4 linked regions of the Arabidopsis thaliana genome follow. The protein of the gene in region 1 interacts with the protein of each later gene in a pairwise test. Each region holds a gene or a part of one and is shown in the gene's direction. Other genes may lie near its edges.

Region 1 (4,434 bases):
TTTTTCGTAGTAAAAAAACTTCTTTCAATATCTTTGCTTGAATGTGACCATTTCTATTGCACATACAAAAAAACGACTATAAAAAGGACCCACAGTGATTATGAAAATCAGATTGACGAAAAGTTTGTGTGTCTGATTCCAATCATATTGATCCAATTCATTCATCATATTCGATGGTTGTCAAAGCATATAGCTGGATTAAGTGGGGCACAACACTGAAAACGTTTCTCAACCGTATGATGTCATTTCAGCCTTTGGTTTTCTCAACGTTTAATCGGTGACCGTCAATTTCTTTTCAATCTCTATAATCATTTCTTCTTTTGGCGTGTCACTGGGACCTTCACTGTCAATGCTGAATTAATCTCCTTTAAGGATTTGAAGGCAAGAAAAATCTTGTTGCAACTAATAAAAGGAATCGATTTTGATGCTCATTAATCGACCTTTATGACCAAAATGGGTCTATATGAAATAATTATATGATTTGACAAGTAACCATTTGATTTACAAATTATTCAACGATTTAGCATTACAAAAACATCTAACCATGCTTAATGTATGATGTTATTCATTTTAAAAAGTCGAATGAAACCCATGTTTATCTCAATGCATGATTTAATAATTTTATTATACATGCACATAATTCTACATTTTTAATTAATTTTATTAGTTTAATAATAATAATTAATTTTCTTTTTTTACACTTGTTATAGGTGAGAAATGAAAGTTATCATAATACAAAACATCAGTTTTTATAAAACCAAATAAAACTCAAAAATCATTCAGACAAATAAGTTTATGGACTTATGGTATATGATGATACTCTCTCAACATCCTCATTAACATCATCACTATTAAGTTAACAAAAAGAAAAAGAAAACATCATTATAAGTTATTAATAAGTTTAAATAGTAGTATTTTATATTCTGGTACAATGTACTGTTTTTGGTCATTAAGTGGTTCAACGACAAAAGTAAAACTCATGCGGTCGACCCATGCGTTAGAAGAAGAAAATCTGAAAAGAAGTTTGAATTCTTTAATTTTTTCATAAAAAGAAGTTTGAATTCAATTCAACCGTTTTTGTTTAGTTCTTCTTTAATTAACTTTATCACTAATGTTTAAAAGTAAAAGGTTTTTAAAGTGTGCAACAAGCGTGACTCTTTGGCCTTTAGAGTCATCAAGAAGGGTAATCATTTTTTTTACTCTTTCTCGACAATAGCAATCAAATTATCATTCCCACTTTTAATAATCTCATAAAATAAAGTCAATCATAGTTAAAATTTGATAAATTCCATGGAAATGATAAAAATTTGATTTTACTATTGTTGGATGTGCAATTGTTCATGGTAACTTACTAATTTATATGCTTTATTAGTTGCAGATAGTGATATATATCGAAAAATGAAAGATCTAATTCCAATAATTGTCAAAGAGGATTTCTAAATTTCTGTTTGACTAGGTCATATATTCTCACGACTCAACGATCTAACCAATCACCTACAACAGAAAATTTGGTTGAAATAAAACGAAAAGTGATAAGTCCAAATGTTTAAAACAAAAAAAAAGTAAACAAAAGGCAAAATAAGATAACTACGATTAGATTTTGTTCTCGCCTTATGAATATCCTAAAAATTATCTATTAGTGATAGTTTGATAATCATCTTTGACTGAGAAAATTGATGTCACATAAACATTAATATAGTATCAACATTAATCATTAATGATGCGACTATAATTATTATTTTATCACAATTTCTTAGATTTGATAATTTGTTTAGGTTTGAGAGAGTTATATAGAGGGGGACAAAGAAGCAAAGTTTGTGATTATAAAATTATTTCCATTGAACTAAAGTTTTCAATAGTTTATTCTTGACTTTAATAATAATAACTATTTTGCCCCCAGCTAGTCACATACTCATGATTGCAAAATCTCTCTCTCTCTCTGCCTCTCTATATATTAACCTTTCTTCTTCCTTTACTTTCTCATCTTCTATCTCTCAAAAGAAAAGCAGACAACTTTATTTGCAAAAACAGAGTTTTTTTTTCTTATCTTGAGAAAGTTCAACAGAAGATGATGTTCGAGAAAGACGATCTGGGTCTAAGCTTAGGCTTGAATTTTCCAAAGAAACAGATCAATCTCAAATCAAATCCATCTGTTTCTGTTACTCCTTCTTCTTCTTCTTTTGGATTATTCAGAAGATCTTCATGGAACGAGAGTTTTACTTCTTCAGGTACTTCATCGCTTTCTTCGTTCCTCTGTTTTTTTTTATTTTTCCCCGGAAAAAACCTTAAAGGTCTCACCTTTTACTCTACTTTTCAATCTTATGCATGCAGTTCCAAACTCAGATTCGTCACAAAAAGAAACAAGAACTTTCATCCGAGGAATCGACGTGAACAGACCACCGTCTACAGCGGAATACGGCGACGAAGACGCTGGAGTATCTTCACCTAACAGTACAGTCTCAAGCTCTACAGGGAAAAGAAGCGAGAGAGAAGAAGACACAGATCCACAAGGCTCAAGAGGAATCAGTGACGATGAAGATGGTGATAACTCCAGGAAAAAGCTTAGACTTTCCAAAGATCAATCTGCTATTCTTGAAGAGACCTTCAAAGATCACAGTACTCTCAATCCGGTAATTTTTTTCTTCTTTTACTTATTGTTTCACCCGAGAAAGTTTGGTTTTACTGGGAAAATTAATGGCTATGATAAATTGTGGAAACGAAAAAAGAACGCGTTAATGAAATATTCACATTAAAATGACTATTGTTACATGTTGACCAAAGAAAAAACATTACTACTACTATTTGTTTCGGTCTCTCATAAATGCAGATATTAATTTATAAATGGCATTTTGGTAAATGTAGACTGATATCAAGGTTTTTTTCAACTTTTTTTCACAGAAGCAGAAGCAAGCATTGGCTAAACAATTAGGGTTACGAGCAAGACAAGTGGAAGTTTGGTTTCAGAACAGACGAGCAAGGTAAATAAAACACACACAAACAAAAGATCTCTCTATTTGCCTGATTTATCTATTTTCTTATAAGGGTATTTTGGTAAATGTTTAACAGAACAAAGCTGAAGCAAACGGAGGTAGACTGCGAGTTCTTACGGAGATGCTGCGAGAATCTAACGGAAGAGAACCGTCGGCTACAAAAAGAAGTAACGGAATTGAGAGCACTTAAGCTCTCTCCTCAGTTCTACATGCACATGAGCCCACCCACTACTTTGACCATGTGCCCTTCATGTGAACACGTGTCGGTCCCGCCACCACAACCTCAGGCTGCTACGTCAGCGCACCACCGGTCGTTGCCGGTCAATGCGTGGGCTCCTGCGACGAGGATATCTCACGGCTTGACTTTTGACGCTCTTCGTCCTAGGTCCTAAGTCTTTTTACTTGCAACCAAAGGGCATTTTGGTCGTTTTTTAAGTTTCATGGACCAGATATGCATGTAGTTGTTAACATGTATGTATTTTCTTAGAAAGAAAGAAAAACAGATTAATATTTTTCTAGCTTAAACCAACATATATGTGTCATGCTAACAAGTAACAACAAATATTTAGAGCCAATGCTATCAGATATTATGACTTTGAAATCATTTTGTTTTGTTTTGTTGCAATAAATATTTTGGACAAAACTATCACAAGAAACTTTATTGCAATAATATTTATAGTGTCTAGCGAGTAGCCACAAACCAAGAAGTACAATTGATGTAGGAAATGCAAAAGAAAATTAAATGGTCCAAATTGTTTCATGTGGCTATGTGAAAAATATTAAATAGTGGGCTAAAAATAGTTGAAATTTCTAAAAGTTTTTCCAGGATTTTTTTTTTTTTTTTTTTTGTTAAACTTAAAAACTTAAAACTTATACTTTGGGCCCAAGTGTTCCTGGCATTACCATTACAACTATAAGTGAGAAAGAGATTACCATATGTCATACATGAGTATGGGCAAAGTTTAGGCCTTATTGAACATGTAGGTTAGGCTATGGGCCACTTCTTGGGTTTGAAAGGTTAACGCAAGTGCTTATCCCCACTACATGTTAAATTTAAAACTCTGATTTTTCAATGGTGTTGAATTGGACTGCTCTGAGATGTTGAAAATGCTAGATGATCAATAGGATTGGATACGTTTAACGTATTTAGGATATACTAGGCCATGAAGTAGTAATATTTGTACTAATTGTCTTGCTAAAAAGGTAAGAGCATGAGGGTTCATGTTTTCCTATGTAAGCAGCTTGGTGTCGGATTTACTCTCTTTGGAGAGTAGCCTCTTCTCATCGGAGCATTGATCTATAACGTTTTAGCCGCAAAGAACAAAAACCCCGAAAAAGATGATCTCATGATCATGTTCAAATCTAGAAACATAAAGAGGGGTATCAATCTGTTTATACTTCACATAGATCTCCATTCCTGTTTTTGTGGGTGAATAAATGTAAC
Region 2 (4,838 bases), on another chromosome or scaffold:
CTTAGTAAATCAATACCGTAGTTAATATACCCTTTTTTTGTCAATACCGTGATTGATATTAATACTTAGCATTTGGTATCTGTTGGGTCGTATAATTGATCATGGGTTGTCTGAGCATGGAAGTAGGATTATAGGGTAGATATGAAGAACGTCATTCTAACGTAAATTATTATTGCTACACTTTTAAAACCAAAATATACGACAGCTTTAATTCTTCCTACCAATTAATAACGACGACGAAAATATACGATTACGGCTGGACATTGGGCTTCCAAAAACGATTTTGAAAAAAAAAAAAAAAACAGAAAGAAATGTCATATACCTAATTTATTTGACCGATGACTTTCACATTATCTGGTCACCATTCACAAAATTTGACACAGTACTTGCATGTCGCTTACAAGAAAAATTAGCCTGCTGATGTTAGAGGAATACAGATAGATACAATTCTGCCTTGACCCTCTCCTGGAGGCGCAAAGTTCATGACAATAAGTAAATCATATATTATACATTTTAATTTTCTCCTTTCTAAGTTCTTAAAAAAGTATGACATCCCCTACTTTGCCTACTTCCTTAATTTCACAAAAATAAAAGTATGACATACTTAATTAGAACATATCTTTTGTTTAGTATTTTACTAGTAATTTTAATAGTACGTACGCTATATAGAACGAACTAATCACCCCTGAACTGAATTCCAAACTAAATCAATTGGTTGCATGTGTGTACGTACAGAAACTCATATAATTCTCAAGTTCAATTCTGTGATAATCATGTGACTTATTAGCTTCAGTTGTTATATTCTGTATCCTAATTTATTTATTTATTTTTTAACATTTATTTGGGTTATATATAGAAAAAGAGATGTACTATTTGCATGTATATAGAGAGAGGCGCATGTGTAGATAATTATAGATAATATGAAATCGTAAGAGTAGTGGAGATGGAGACAAACCCGTGATTGTCGTTGGTGACAGAAACAAGTAGTAATATTTTCTTCTCGTGTCTTTCAGTGAAGACAGCCCAGCCAAGCACCTTTTAACTTCTGTCTGATTCCTCTCTCTATGCTCTTTCTCTGTCTATCTATCTAATTATGCTTTTGGGTTTCTTCTTTTTCTGGTTTCACAGCTTTGGCTTTGAAGTCACGAGCCCATCCCCCTAACCATCCCCTTTTATGCTTTGCTTTTCTAGTCAATTTAATTCATGAGTTGTAACGATGGAAGAAGTTTCATTTATCTAATTAATGTGTATGCCTCATTAATGTTGCCTTCTTCCTATATTGCTAAAAGCTAGTTCGAATGAAACAAAAACACGTACCAAATCCAATGAAAAACATAGATCTTCAGTTGGTTTTGAAAGAAAGAACAAAAAAAATTGTTAATGTACATGTCATATTGAACCCTGATTTATGTCATAAAATTGGTATACGTACGGGTTGATATCATGAAAACGTTTGATCTTTTACCATGAAAATGATCATTATTTAGATAAATTCAATCTACTCCTTGGAATTTCTTTTCACTCCCTATCACAACGAGATTCAAAGATTAATTGTACTAATTGACTTAATAGTTATTAACTCATTTTAAAATACATCTTATGACTGAAGTTACTAATGTTTAATGAAATTAAAAGTACCATTTTTGTCATGAGGTGTAATTCTAGATCTATCTTTCCCTAAGATGTATATAACTGTAGAAAAAACCATTGGTGTAATAAAAAGCTATATATTAAATAGAATTTAGAATATCCGTTGCCATCATATACATATTTCAACATATATGTTGAGTTGGAGAGAGAGGGGGAGAAAAAGGAATGATGGATACAAGCATCCAAAAAGTCATACACATAGACCATCAAAAGTCTTCACCTTAAATTCCTAACACATATGTATGAGTGTGTGATCTTTGTTTGATCTTTGTCCAGAGAACTCCAAGATAGACCAAAAAGGTTCAACCTCAAAACAAACAACACAAAAACAGCCAAATAGCTAGAGACCAAGATGAGATCAAGCAGCCAAAATTCTGAAAACTCCAAGACTTGTCTATCTAACAACATCAAAGCAACCACCAAGAATGAAGAAGATAAAGATGAAGAGGATGATGAAGAAGGCGAAGAGGATGAAGAAGAGAGATCTGGAGATCAGAGCCCATCTAGCAATAGCTATGAGGAAGAGAGTGGGAGTCACCACCATGATCAGAACAAGAAGAATGGAGGATCCGTGAGGCCGTACAACCGCTCAAAGACTCCGAGGCTGCGATGGACGCCGGAGCTCCATATTTGCTTTCTTCAAGCTGTGGAGAGATTGGGTGGCCCAGATAGTTGAGTTTCAATTATATATATGAATCAATATCAAGATCATTGCATATGTGAAGATCTCTAAATTTCTAGGGTTTTCTTGTTGATATTTATTTGGGGTCTCTTTCAATGATTTTGTTGAAACAGGAGCAACACCGAAGCTTGTTCTCCAATTGATGAACGTCAAGGGGCTAAGTATTGCCCATGTTAAGAGTCATCTTCAGGTTTTGCAAATATCCACATACACATAGAGTATATATCTATATACATCATTGAGATCTTCATCTGAAATCATACTTCATTTTTTTTTCTTCTTAGATGTACAGAAGCAAGAAGACCGATGAGCCTAATGAAGGTAGTTTACTTAGCTTTCTTCTACCTTCTGATTTAAGTTAGGGCTTCTATAAATCTTATAATTGAATTCGACGAGAAATTGACTAATTCTTGTCTCTCGTGTTTTATCTTTTCTTATAACTACAGGAGATCAAGGATTTTCGTTTGAACACGGAGCTGGTTACACTTACAACCTTAGCCAACTTCCAATGCTACAAAGTTTTGATCAAAGGCCTTCTTCTAGTTTAGGGTATTTACAAACTCTTCAGCTAGCTATCTTTAAACTATAAGTTAAAATTACGTGTGTGTAACTTGGAATGTATTCAATAGATATGGTGGTGGTTCGTGGACTGACCACAGACGACAGATCTACCGTAGCCCTTGGAGAGGATTAACGACACGAGAAAATACAAGAACAAGACAAACAATGTTTAGCTCACAGCCTGGTGAGAGATATCACGGAGTTAGCAATAGTATTCTTAACGATAAGAACAAAACTATTTCATTTCGAATCAATTCTCATGAAGGGGTTCATGATAACAATGGAGTAGCTGGAGCTGTTCCAAGAATTCATAGAAGTTTTCTTGAAGGTATGAAAACGTTTAACAAATCATGGGGACAGAGCCTCTCTTCCAATCTTAAGTCCTCCACCGCAACAATACCACAAGATCATATTGCTACAACGCTAAATTCTTATCAATGGGAGAATGCTGGAGTGGCAGAAGGATCAGAGAATGTTTTGAAGAGGAAGAGGTTATTATTTTCTGATGACTGCAATAAGTCAGACCAAGATTTGGATCTAAGCTTGTCCCTTAAGGTACCTCGGACACACGACAATCTTGGAGAATGCTTGTTAGAAGATGAAGTAAAAGAACATGATGATCATCAAGATATCAAGAGTTTGTCTCTTTCGTTATCATCTTCAGGTTCATCAAAACTCGACCGAACCATTAGGAAAGAAGATCAAACTGATCACAAAAAGAGAAAGATTTCGGTCTTGGCAAGTCCCCTTGATCTCACTCTGTGAATATGTATAACAACTTATATACGTATATTCTAAGTGAGATCTTGTGGTACTTGTTGATGGAAGACGGTTCTGTATTGTTGTTTATCATTCGTTGCATACTTGTGACAAGACCCATAATTAAGGAAATAATAGAGACATTTTTTAATGTTTTTTATTAAAAAAAAATTCACATAATTTTGTCGAGATCGTTAAATGCATATTTTAAAATATATATGATTTGTGATCGAGTTGGGAGCAGAAATTTGTTTTCTTCTAAATAGTATAGTAACCAAGAAATACATTAGTGAGAGTCTATATATATGGTTTTGAGAGTTACAAGACATTGCACGTTGTCTATAAGCTTGTCTAGACGTTGCAATGTATATGTAGTTTACTCTCACATAACAAGTATCCTAAGCAATATTTTTGTTTTAACATGGAGATATTGTCTGAAAATTTATACGTTAACGTCAAATCAGTGAATACAAGAAAAGAAGATGAAGACTTCCGAGTCATAGCTTTCTGAGCTATAGCATTATTATTTTTATAAAGACGAGTTTTTGCCTTCTTCAAAATCGTTTTATAAATTATTCTATGTTTTAGATTTGTAGTTGAAATTATATGAAAGGTCCGTTAATTTAAAAATCAGGTCTGCTGAATGTTTTGTTTGTATTAAAAAAACAAAAAAAAAAAAACAAATCGGTTCTGATAACCAACCAAAGTTTATTTTAATTTAGTTGCGAGGTTAATTAAGAAAAAAAGAAGACACTTTCTTTAAGAGAAAATTGGAGAGAACGACAAGAAGACAGATGTACTTGACATAGAGATATGTCTTGATCTCCTCGATAGACAACAAGCTAGTATCTGTTATTCGCATATAATCGTTTCTTATCATCTTGGGCCTTGAATAAGATTTGGCTATATGTATTATATATTTGGGAATTTTTTCATATTTCCAGAGAATCAAAACTATGGAAAGTTTTTGTTGTTTTATGTCTACTCACATGTGCCTTTGTTGTATCATTCCATATTGTTAAGTCAAAGATATTTGTAACGTGAGACATCAGTTTTCTTTCTATGCTTATATTTGAGATAGTGGAATTCTAACAAAAATATTTAAATATGATTATGATAACTAAGCAATTTCATAATTAAAATCTCATGGGAAGAAATATACAAATTAGTGAATTACATACACTTT
Region 3 (5,269 bases), on another chromosome or scaffold:
TCGAGTCTATTTCTCACGCAGACAAATTCTTGTGTCTTGAAAGTTCAAATTTTTTGTTGTTTTTGCCAAATTTAAGAACAAACAGAAGTAAAGAGTGTTAAACATGTTTTTTACAAATTGTAAAAGCATCCAAAAACATCAATCAACACTAGTTCGTGAGGTTGCAGAAGCCACAAACAAACGTGTTTTAGGGCTTCGTGTCTTCTTTTTCTTCAATGTTTAACAAACAGATGAAAAGTGTTATAAACAAGCTTTTCCAAATTTCAGAAAGACAAACATCATACGATTATCTAGTTTAGCATTGCCTTAAGATAGTAAATCCAGAAAACAACTGAATCAAGACAGACATTTCAACAAAGGACTCGAACGAAGACTATCAAACATTCATCATTATTCTGGTTTGGTGTCTTCTTCTTCTTCAATCTTAGGCGCCAGATAGTATCGAATGTAACCCATCTCAGCCACCTTGTACTCCACCACGACCGGTAACTCAGAGGACAAACTGATGGTCACAGTTTCCGACAATGGAGTAGCCTTTGTGAAGGAGTTCATGTACCTCAATGCAAATGAAAGCGAAACAGGCTCGTTCATCTCTATCACAATAGCATCTTCAGGCTGCAAAACACACATACAAACATAAGGTCACTTCAACATTGTATTGGACAGATTATTAAACAAATCTCTCTAGATGACTAGTGATTGTTCATACTTTGTCGACGGTAGTATTCTGCCTGAGCACAATGTTTGCTGTCCCGATATCACCTGCTGTTGAAAACTTCACCCCTTCTTTTGTTACCGAGATCACAACTGCAAAATCATAACATCAAAACCAGAATCATGATTAGAGAATCCTCGCAGTGATACACCAAATAAACAAACAGTTCATTTACCTGTGTCACCAATGCTACTGAGATCTTTGCATATCCTGGAAAATTCACCAGAAGGCATTCTCACAATCGAGTGGTACTCAGCATCAGGAATTCCTAAATGCTCACTGTCGATATCCATCAGCTTCATCTCAAAATCTGCAATCTTGTCTTGTGCTGCATCATCAACACCATTTAAATAATGAGATTAACACCACATAGTCAATATCAAACAAAGTTCCTCTGTTAACTTTCACTAAATCAAGAAACTCTATTCACTTTCAAACTATAGTCTTTAAGCTAGAGACTATACCTATTCTGAAAACAAAAATGGAAGGACTCATTCTCATCAAGCAAGTTCTAGTTTCTGTCAAATGAAACCTATAAATAACAGTTCAGATCACTAATAACATCATTAACTACACAAAAACAAAGCCATATCAAACCTTATTCCAAACCAAAAACCCTCTATTAACATAGATTTTATCTTCTCTTTCATCTCTTACAAACTAAAGCTTTCAAGAAATGGACTGAATCATTCTCTACAATCATATTCTAGCTTCTGGCAAATCAAACCTATAAACACAGAATCAGGTCACCAATAGCATCAACATTGACAACAAAACCAAAGCCCTAACAAACAAAAATCGATTTGAAGAACTTACTGGGACTCTCAAACATGAAAGTAACAGTGTCGCTACCATCATCAGCTTTGATGGTGATGATATCATCATTTCCAGCACATTTCAGCATCTTAGACATATTACCAAGATTCATTCCCATAGAGAGGTTCCTATCGCATCTATAGTGCTCGAAACCTTCAGATCTAAGCAAAAGAGACACCAACGCGACATGGCTCGAATCCATAGCTTGAAGCGAGAACCCTGTGGTCGAACAGTCGAAGTTCGCATCGTTCACCAGATCTTTGACCGCTTCTAGAACCTTCTTCAGTAGAGAACCTTGAACTAAACGAAGCTCCAACATCTTCTGGGAAATTATCGAAAGGTTAGAGTGTGAATCGAAACGGTTAGGGTTTTTAGAGCTGTTGAAATTTCTGGGAGGAGATTGCAATTGTTAGCGGGAAGTGATATTATAAGCTGAGATTTTGTGGCGCCATTTAGCGATTTTAGGGTATTTTTGTTCCCGCCTGTGTGTGACGATGAATTATCATCTGTGTGAGTCCGTATTGTTTATTTCAGTACACCACCATCACTTTAAGCTTTCTTATTTCATGGGTTTAAATTGGGCCAAACAAACATTCGGCCCAACAGCAGCTGTAATATTAAAGATTCCCGAAAAAATCGAAACGAGAGCAAATCTGCTCTTCAAGGTAATCTTCGTGTTCGAGACTGAAGAAGAAATCCAGAAATCATTGAGGAAGGAAGAGAATTAGGAAATGGCGCATAGAATACTGAGAGATCACGAGGCTGATGGATGGGAACGTTCTGATTTCCCAATCATCTGTGAGTCTTGTCTCGGTGACAATCCTTACGTGAGAATGGTATATTCTTCGCTTCCTATGTTTCTCCTCAAACAAATTCGATTTCCTTGCCTTTAGCTAGATTTTTTTTTAACATTCATGTGTCTTTATTAAGATCTCCTTTCATTTGTCCATTTTCGAGCTTGTTTAATGCTTTTATGTTTCTTAGTGTTGAAGCTGCAATTTTAGTGATTTGAGATTTTAGGGTTTAAGCGATTTAATATACAATTCATAACCTTTGGTAAAAATCAGAATTCATGGAGTTGTAGTTCAAAATGATATCTTTGGTTTGTTCTGATCAAATTTGCTTAGAGGGAATGTAATTCATTGAATACTGTCTCATGTTATGTCTGGTAGTGATGTGCAGCTTCATGTTTGATTGATTGATTGATTTATTGTTGTTGTTTGGTATGTAGACAAAGGCGAATTACGATAAAGAGTGTAAGATCTGTACCCGGCCTTTCACGGTTTTCAGATGGCGACCTGGTAGGGATGCGAGATACAAGAAGACTGAAGTTTGTCAGACATGTTGCAAGTTGAAGAATGTGTGCCAAGTTTGTCTCTTGGATCTTGAGTATGGTCTTCCAGTTCAGGTCAGAGACACGGCGCTCAACATTAGTACTCATGATTCTATCCCAAAAAGTGATGTGAACCGAGAGTTTTTCGCTGAAGAGCATGATCGAAAGGTATGGTGACTCTGCGTTCTAACTAGTTATATTATTTGAGTATTGATTGGTTTGAGATTTGGCTATACAGTTTCTCTACTTTGTAATGGCCTATTGAAATGGTTTTGTTTTCTTGTGTAGACGAGAGCTGGACTAGATTATGAGTCTTCTTTTGGGAAGATTCGGCCCAACGATACCATTCGTATGCTTCAAAGGACAACGCCTTACTACAAAAGGAACCGAGCTCATATTTGTAGTTTCTTCATTAGGGGAGAGTGTACAAGAGGTGATGAGTGTCCATACCGTCATGAGATGCCTGAAACAGGAGAGTTATCCCAGCAGAACATTAAAGACCGTTATTATGGGTAAGCATACTTCTAACTTTCATTTTGTTTGAGTATGATAATATTGAGTTACTCCTCAATTTCTTGCTTTGGTATATCATGAAAGAGAGTTATGAAAAATACATCAGTTTGTGTGCGTAAACTGGCTGTTATTTTGGTGATATTGGAACTGTTTTCTCATCTTATTCTTCACTTCCTGCAGTGTAAACGATCCAGTTGCGTTGAAGTTACTTGGCAAGGCTGGGGAGATGGGTACTTTGGAATCTCCAGAGGATCAAAGCATCAGAACGCTTTATGTTGGTGGGCTAAACTCGAGAGTCCTTGAGCAAGACATTCGTGATCAATTCTACGCCCATGGAGAAATCGAATCCATCAGAATCTTGGCTGAGAAAGCATGTGCGTTTGTCACTTACACAACCCGAGAAGGAGCAGAGAAAGCTGCAGAAGAGCTCAGTAACAGGCTAGTTGTCAACGGTCAGAGGCTAAAACTCACATGGGGAAGACCTCAGGTTCCCAAACCTGATCAAGATGGTTCTAACCAACAGGGCAGTGTGGCTCATAGTGGTTTACTACCTCGAGCAGTTATATCTCAGCAACAGAATCAACCTCCACCAATGCTACAATACTATATGCACCCACCACCACCACAACCTCCTCATCAAGACAGACCATTTTACCCATCAATGGACCCTCAGAGAATGGGTGCAGTTAGTTCGTCCAAAGAAAGCGGTTCAAGCACCAGTGACAACAGAGGAGCTTCTTCTTCTTCTTACACTATGCCACCACATGGCCACTATCCTCAGCACCAGCCATACCCGCCACCATCATATGGAGGATATATGCAACCACCTTACCAGCAGTATCCTCCTTACCACCATGGCCATTCACAACAAGCTGATCATGATTACCCACAACAACCAGGTCCCGGTTCAAGGCCTAATCCTCCACATCCAAGTTCAGTCTCTGCTCCACCACCTGACTCTGTGTCTGCAGCACCTTCAGGATCCTCTCAGCAATCTGCTGATGCTGCTGTTACTACTGGTTCGTCTCAATAGGAACCGTTGTCAGTTAAAATGTAGTGCGAATTTCCGGCCATATCTACATTTTGACTTTTTGCTTCTGCTATTTAAAATTAGTTTCCAATGTAAGAGAAGAGAATTGTTACAGTAGTTGTAGACTCTTGTTGACATTATAATTTTGAATTTTTGATAATCCAACATACACATTAAATCCAAGCTGAAACCATAGACAACAAAATTCTCTTGAAGCTTCTTCAAATTCCTCTTTAAACAGCTTTCAATGTTGTATAGATGAGACATATCATACCATCCTCATCAACATAACTATCACAGTTACTGAATGGTTTGATCTTTATAAGCTATGTACCAAGGTTTTAGATTCACAACCAGAAAGAACAAAGGACCTAACCAAATTTACCTAACCATAATCTTATTATTGAAAACAGACATTACAGTGATACAAGACTTAAAAGTTGGACTCAGAGCTTACTAGCTTGTCTACCAAACATAGAATGTCGACCTTCCGCTATAATCTCCCCGGTCATCTTGTTTCTGACTACAACGATTGTTCCTTTATAACCTCCTCTCTCTCCTAACAATCTCGACGTTATCTCCAACTCCTCCTGAAAATTCATTTCCATTTCAATATCATATCTCTCAATCCATTTCTATAGCAAACAAACAGTCCCAAAGTACAGATTGAAAAAAGACTTGAGCAGACTTACACCAAGCTTAGCTTTTGAAAGGAATGCAATAGACATGTCCACTGAAACACTCATAGGTAAGCCTTCGCCATGTACAAGTGCTCCACCAACTTCATCCACAAGATTTGCAATCGCACCATTTGCTAAATTCTTGTCTCTGTCCTGACATTATCAAAACATTAAAATATCAA
Region 4 (4,707 bases), 390 kb from region 1:
ATTGGTTCGCTAAAGGTAAATTTCCTTTGACTTTATGGGCTTTTGACTCAAAACCATCTTTACGGCCCAGTTTGACTTCATAGAAAGGCCCACCAACCATTGTGACAAGGTCACGTGTGGCCTGAGCCAGGATGTCTGCGCAGGACACCACCCCGGGACAAGACAATTCAAGAGCGGTTTTGATGCGAGTCACAATGTCGAATGCATCTCCCGGAAGCGACTCGTTGAGGTCATCGTCACGTTCGGCTTTGTTGAAAGAATTTGTAGCGATAAGGACGGAAGCATCACATCCTTCCATGAAACAATCATGGAAAAAGAGACGGAGTGTTCCAGCAGCTGTCGTTGGCTGCTGGCCTTGCTTTGGTGTAACGGTTTCACGTACGATTTTATTGAAATCGGGACATGTTTTTTGGTAATAATCTTTTGTTAAATTTGGTGGTGGTGCCGAGTATATAGACGGGACAAAGACTAGGACGACGAAGAGAACATTTATAACCGAAGACATTGTGTATTTCACGAGACTCGTATCGATTTGTGAAAGAAATATTGTTTGTAAAATATGGAAACGGAATTGAAATGTAAAGAGATGTCTATGAGGTAGACTTCTTTATTGAATTGTTATCGGTGAAATATAGAAGCATGTACGTGTGGTTGGAGTTTGGCTTTTGTTATGTTCTTTTTATTTCAGTGATTGGTCTATATTTAGTTTGTTTTTACTTTCATTTTTCATTAGAAACGTTTTCTAACACTAATTCATTATAAAATCGATTGGCTTCTAGGTTAATTAAACCACAAACATGGAATGCATGCTAATTGGGGAAATGTGAAGGTGATTAATCACTCAATTGATTTGTTTTGTATTACTACTCCTGTTTTTGAAAGAATTTTGGAATGGTGATTAATCAACTAAAGCATCTACAGAAAACATTATTGATGGTTAGAGATATGAAAATTTAAATTGATAGGCTAAACATACAAGCAAACTTTTACTTAATCTAATGTTGCTCTTGATTTGAAATATAAACAAAAACAAAATTAAGAAAAATGTTGACTTCTGAGTTCTGACCACTAAAATCATGCAACTGCTTGACAATGGACATGCCATCCATCTTATATCAATTTGTTGCTTACCTTGCCACCACATTTCTAGATTTTTATGTCATCTTGTTGACATTTATTAGTATATAAATTCCTACCATTCTTTCTGACCAACATATGCTAGAACCAAATTATTTGTTGTTAGATATCAATTTTCGCTAACGTGTTACTGTTTATAAAGTATTAAATCATGCCTATATATATTATTATGTTTCATACTCCTCCAAACATTTTGATAAGCTTGATTTTCTTTTTATATATAGTTCAATTTTTGTAATCTCATGTATACGCTATGGCAATGTGTACTGATGACGAAACATTATGTACCTATATGTATCATGTGGTAAGTAGAACATTGTTTGTTTGCTAGAATATGTATGTCGCTTATCGTTTTGAAAAAGACTCACCAGCATATATATAATATGCAACTGTGAAGCATAATATCAATGAGGAAACGTGAAGTGCACCAAGGGATAATCTAATTTGATACCTTTTATTTGAAGAATATATGACGTCCGATCCATTAATGCTTTATATGCATCTAGCCATCGACATGGATCTAGACCTTTCAATAATTGACGACTCCTCCGTTTTCTTTTTATAATATCAAAAATTGGGACATTGGTTATATTGGAAGAGTGGTGAAGGATTTATCCTATACATCAAACCTAGATATGAATCCCAACCAACTATGGACCGCTATTGTTCTCTCTTTGTTTTTTTTTTTTGCTATGAAACTATGGACCGCTATTGTTAGCTTTTTATTTAGTTATTGTAAACATCTTAAATGAAAAAAAAAAAGAAATACTCGGTTCACTATATGCATCATGTAATAATAATCTAGGTTTTGGCCCAAGATCTATCTAAGTTATAATTAAAACGAAAAAAAAAAACAAAAAAAAAAAATTGAAAAAGAAAATTGTTAGGTAGCTAAAACCCTCAGGTACTACAAGATTAACGAATACATCTACAGATTATTCATCTGGAACATGCAAATATGTGATGTATCGACTGATCTAAAATGGATTAGTTTGGTTGAAAGACGGTTTGGTTTAGTTAGGTTGGAAGGGTCTTTGGGAAGAGTGTTACATCGTTCACATCTTTTAATTTTGATTCAGTCTCTAAATTATACTATATAGTCTATATTGCAACTGAAGAATGATTGAAAGAGTACTAGTACTAAGGAAAAAAATAGAAGTAGATGCAAAAAAAAAATGGTAACATTAGTGTGAATCATGCATATAATGTTGAAAGCTTTAAAAAGACCCACAAGTCTTTGTACCCTTTCGTCCCCCTCCCCTCTAAAACCTCATCTTCCCCATTTATTTCTCCCATTCTTTCTCCTTTTCTTTTTCAGTTCTTAATTCATACTTGAAAAAATCAATACATTTTCATCATCATCAGCATCATCATTTCCCATATACACAAACACACATGCATGCCCTTATTATCTGATAATGAACGCATAGGTCTCTTCTCTGATAGCTCAATGGCGATTCAAGCTCAGCATCCTTCACGTTTCTTCTTCAACAACAGGTAAAAATCTTCATATAATCATATAGTAATAGTATACGCCCTGTGTATTTATTATGTATGTGATGTTTTCAATTTCTTATGAAAATTTATTGAACAGTAACGGACAAGAAGCTAGTGATTGTTCGTTGCAGCCTCAAGACACTCCTTTCACTAATTTCACCAAAGCTGGTCTCTCTTCTCATTATTCCCATATCGTTTCCAAATTTTTTCCTTCAATTCCATTCAATCATCACCGTTTTTGAAACAGGGGTTGATTCAAGAAAACGATCAAGAGAAGTTTATTCATCGGCTCTGATGAACCCTCCACCTCCAAAACCGTCGCAAGTTATTGATATAACCGAGTTGTTGCAGAAAACGCCTAACGTGGTTTCCACTGGTCTTCGATTATTTCATGATCAGTCACAGAATCAACAACAGTTTTTTTCTTCTCTTCCCGGAGATGTTACCGGAAAGATTAAACGGCAAAGAGATGAACTAGACAGATTCATTCAGACTCAGGTGTCTTATTAAACTCGACCTAAAATGTGGTTTGGTTTGTTTTTTCTTTGTGTTGATAATTTGATTTTGCAGGGTGAAGAGTTGCGGCGTACGTTAGCGGATAACAGAGAGAGACGCTACGTAGAGTTATTGTGCGCTGCGGAGGAGATAGTCGGACGGAAATTGAGAAAAAAAGAAGCGGAGTTGGAGAAAGCCACGCGCCGTCACGCTGAGCTAGAAGCGCGTGTAGCTCACATCGTGGAAGAGGCGCGAAACTGGCAGTTAAGAGCGGCGACGCGGGAAGCTGAGGTGTCCTCGTTACATGCTCATCTCCAACAAGCCATAGCTAACCGCCTAGATACGGCGGCGAAACAGAGTACGTTCGGAGAAGACGGCGGAGACGCGGAAGAAGCAGAGGACGCTGAATCGGTTTACGTGGATCCGGAGCGGATCGAATTGATCGGACCAAGTTGTAGGATTTGCCGGCGGAAATCTGCGACGGTGATGGCATTGCCGTGTCAACATTTGATTCTTTGTAATGGATGCGACGTCGGAGCAGTGCGAGTCTGTCCGATTTGCCTCGCCGTGAAGACTTCCGGTGTCGAAGTTTTATTTTGATGATGATGAGTATTTAATTGATAGGCCCGTTATAGGCCCATGGGTCCATCCAGATCTAAGCAACAAACAAGACAACAGTACAGAAAAAGGACGTTTTCTATAGGCAAAAATAAAGATTGAAAATGAGATTTGAATTATATATAGTTGATGATGTACATAGGACATAGCCACATGTAGTGGCATTTTTTTCGTTTTGACATCTTCGTTTACTTTCTTTCTTTTGGATATTCTTCGCTTTTTTTTTCAGAAAACGTTTTGAAGAAATTGCTAAAATTGAATTCATTTACGTTAGAAATCTTACTATATTATTTGGGAAGTACATTTTAAATGTAACCTTACTTTTTGTAAATAATTACATAGGTATACCATTAGAAATAAAATTTTAAAGAGTAAATTAATTTATCTGTTTAAGGATTAAAAAGTCAAATACTAATTTAATTAATTAAATTTAATTAAAAAACGAAATACATTTTTAATTTCCAAAAACAATAACCAATCAAAATCAACATATAAGATTTGATATCTAAATTTTAATTAATTTAATTTAATTAGAAAAACGAAATACATTATTAATTTCCAAAAAAATAAACAATTAAAATTAACAAATTAGATTTGATATCTAAATTATCATATTAATTTTTTATTAATTATTATAGTTCACTTCTCATCTTTATATGATTCTATTTTTGCGAAAAAATAATATCATCATTATAAAAAAATAATTAGAGTTTTTTCGCATATGCCATAATTTGAATTTTTAAAAACGAATATAAACTGTTCAATACATGAAAAATATTATAACGGGTGAAAATAGATTTAAGAAAACTTTCTACTGAGTTAACAGGTCATAATTTGAAATATTTATATTCAATTTTATACATATTATATTAAAAAATTATAATCTTATATACTACAATAATTAATAAGATATTAGATTTTTTATGTGTATGATGTGATTCAATTTTTAACAAGCTGGAA

Evidence for each region.
Region 2: the proteins of HB-2 (region 1) and AT2G40260 interact in a two-hybrid assay, tested with the Arabidopsis thaliana proteins (one large-scale study listed by BioGRID).
Region 3: the proteins of HB-2 (region 1) and MAC5B interact in a two-hybrid assay, tested with the Arabidopsis thaliana proteins (one large-scale study listed by BioGRID).
Region 4: the proteins of HB-2 (region 1) and AT4G17680 interact in a two-hybrid assay, tested with the Arabidopsis thaliana proteins (one large-scale study listed by BioGRID).

Annotation. Positions count from the first base shown.
Region 1 is NC_003075.7:9,447,223-9,451,656, forward strand, and holds HB-2 (homeobox protein 2), read left to right. Parts: upstream 1-1,891; 5' UTR 1,892-2,068; coding exon 2,069-2,228; intron 2,229-2,331; coding exon 2,332-2,630; intron 2,631-2,898; coding exon 2,899-2,978; intron 2,979-3,066; coding exon 3,067-3,382; 3' UTR 3,383-3,683; downstream 3,684-4,434. UniProt on the Arabidopsis thaliana protein: Probable transcription factor involved in the negative regulation of cell elongation and specific cell proliferation processes such as lateral root formation and secondary growth of the vascular system.
Region 2 is NC_003071.7:16,815,638-16,820,475, reverse strand, and holds AT2G40260 (Homeodomain-like superfamily protein), read left to right. Parts: upstream 1-1,745; 5' UTR 1,746-2,002; coding exon 2,003-2,321; exon of another isoform or gene 2,322-2,445; coding exon 2,446-2,522; intron 2,523-2,616; coding exon 2,617-2,653; intron 2,654-2,778; coding exon 2,779-2,881; intron 2,882-2,961; coding exon 2,962-3,658; 3' UTR 3,659-3,946; downstream 3,947-4,838.
Region 3 is NC_003071.7:12,649,749-12,655,017, forward strand, and holds MAC5B (CCCH-type zinc fingerfamily protein with RNA-binding domain-containing protein), read left to right. Parts: upstream 1-2,077; 5' UTR 2,078-2,262; coding exon 2,263-2,367; intron 2,368-2,762; coding exon 2,763-3,032; intron 3,033-3,152; coding exon 3,153-3,376; intron 3,377-3,557; coding exon 3,558-4,410; 3' UTR 4,411-4,588; downstream 4,589-5,269. Other genes in the region: PCNA2 (proliferating cell nuclear antigen 2), read right to left, coding at 391-615, 710-807, 891-1,043, 1,532-1,850; AT2G29590 (Thioesterase superfamily protein), read right to left, coding at 4,854-4,997, 5,100-5,240.
Region 4 is NC_003075.7:9,841,925-9,846,631, reverse strand, and holds AT4G17680 (SBP (S-ribonuclease binding protein) family protein), read left to right. Parts: upstream 1-2,297; 5' UTR 2,298-2,536; coding exon 2,537-2,634; intron 2,635-2,731; coding exon 2,732-2,802; exon of another isoform or gene 2,803-2,881; coding exon 2,882-3,132; exon of another isoform or gene 3,133-3,156; coding exon of another isoform or gene 3,157-3,204; coding exon 3,205-3,729; 3' UTR 3,730-4,022; downstream 4,023-4,707. Other genes in the region: AT4G17690 (Peroxidase superfamily protein), read right to left, coding at 1-505.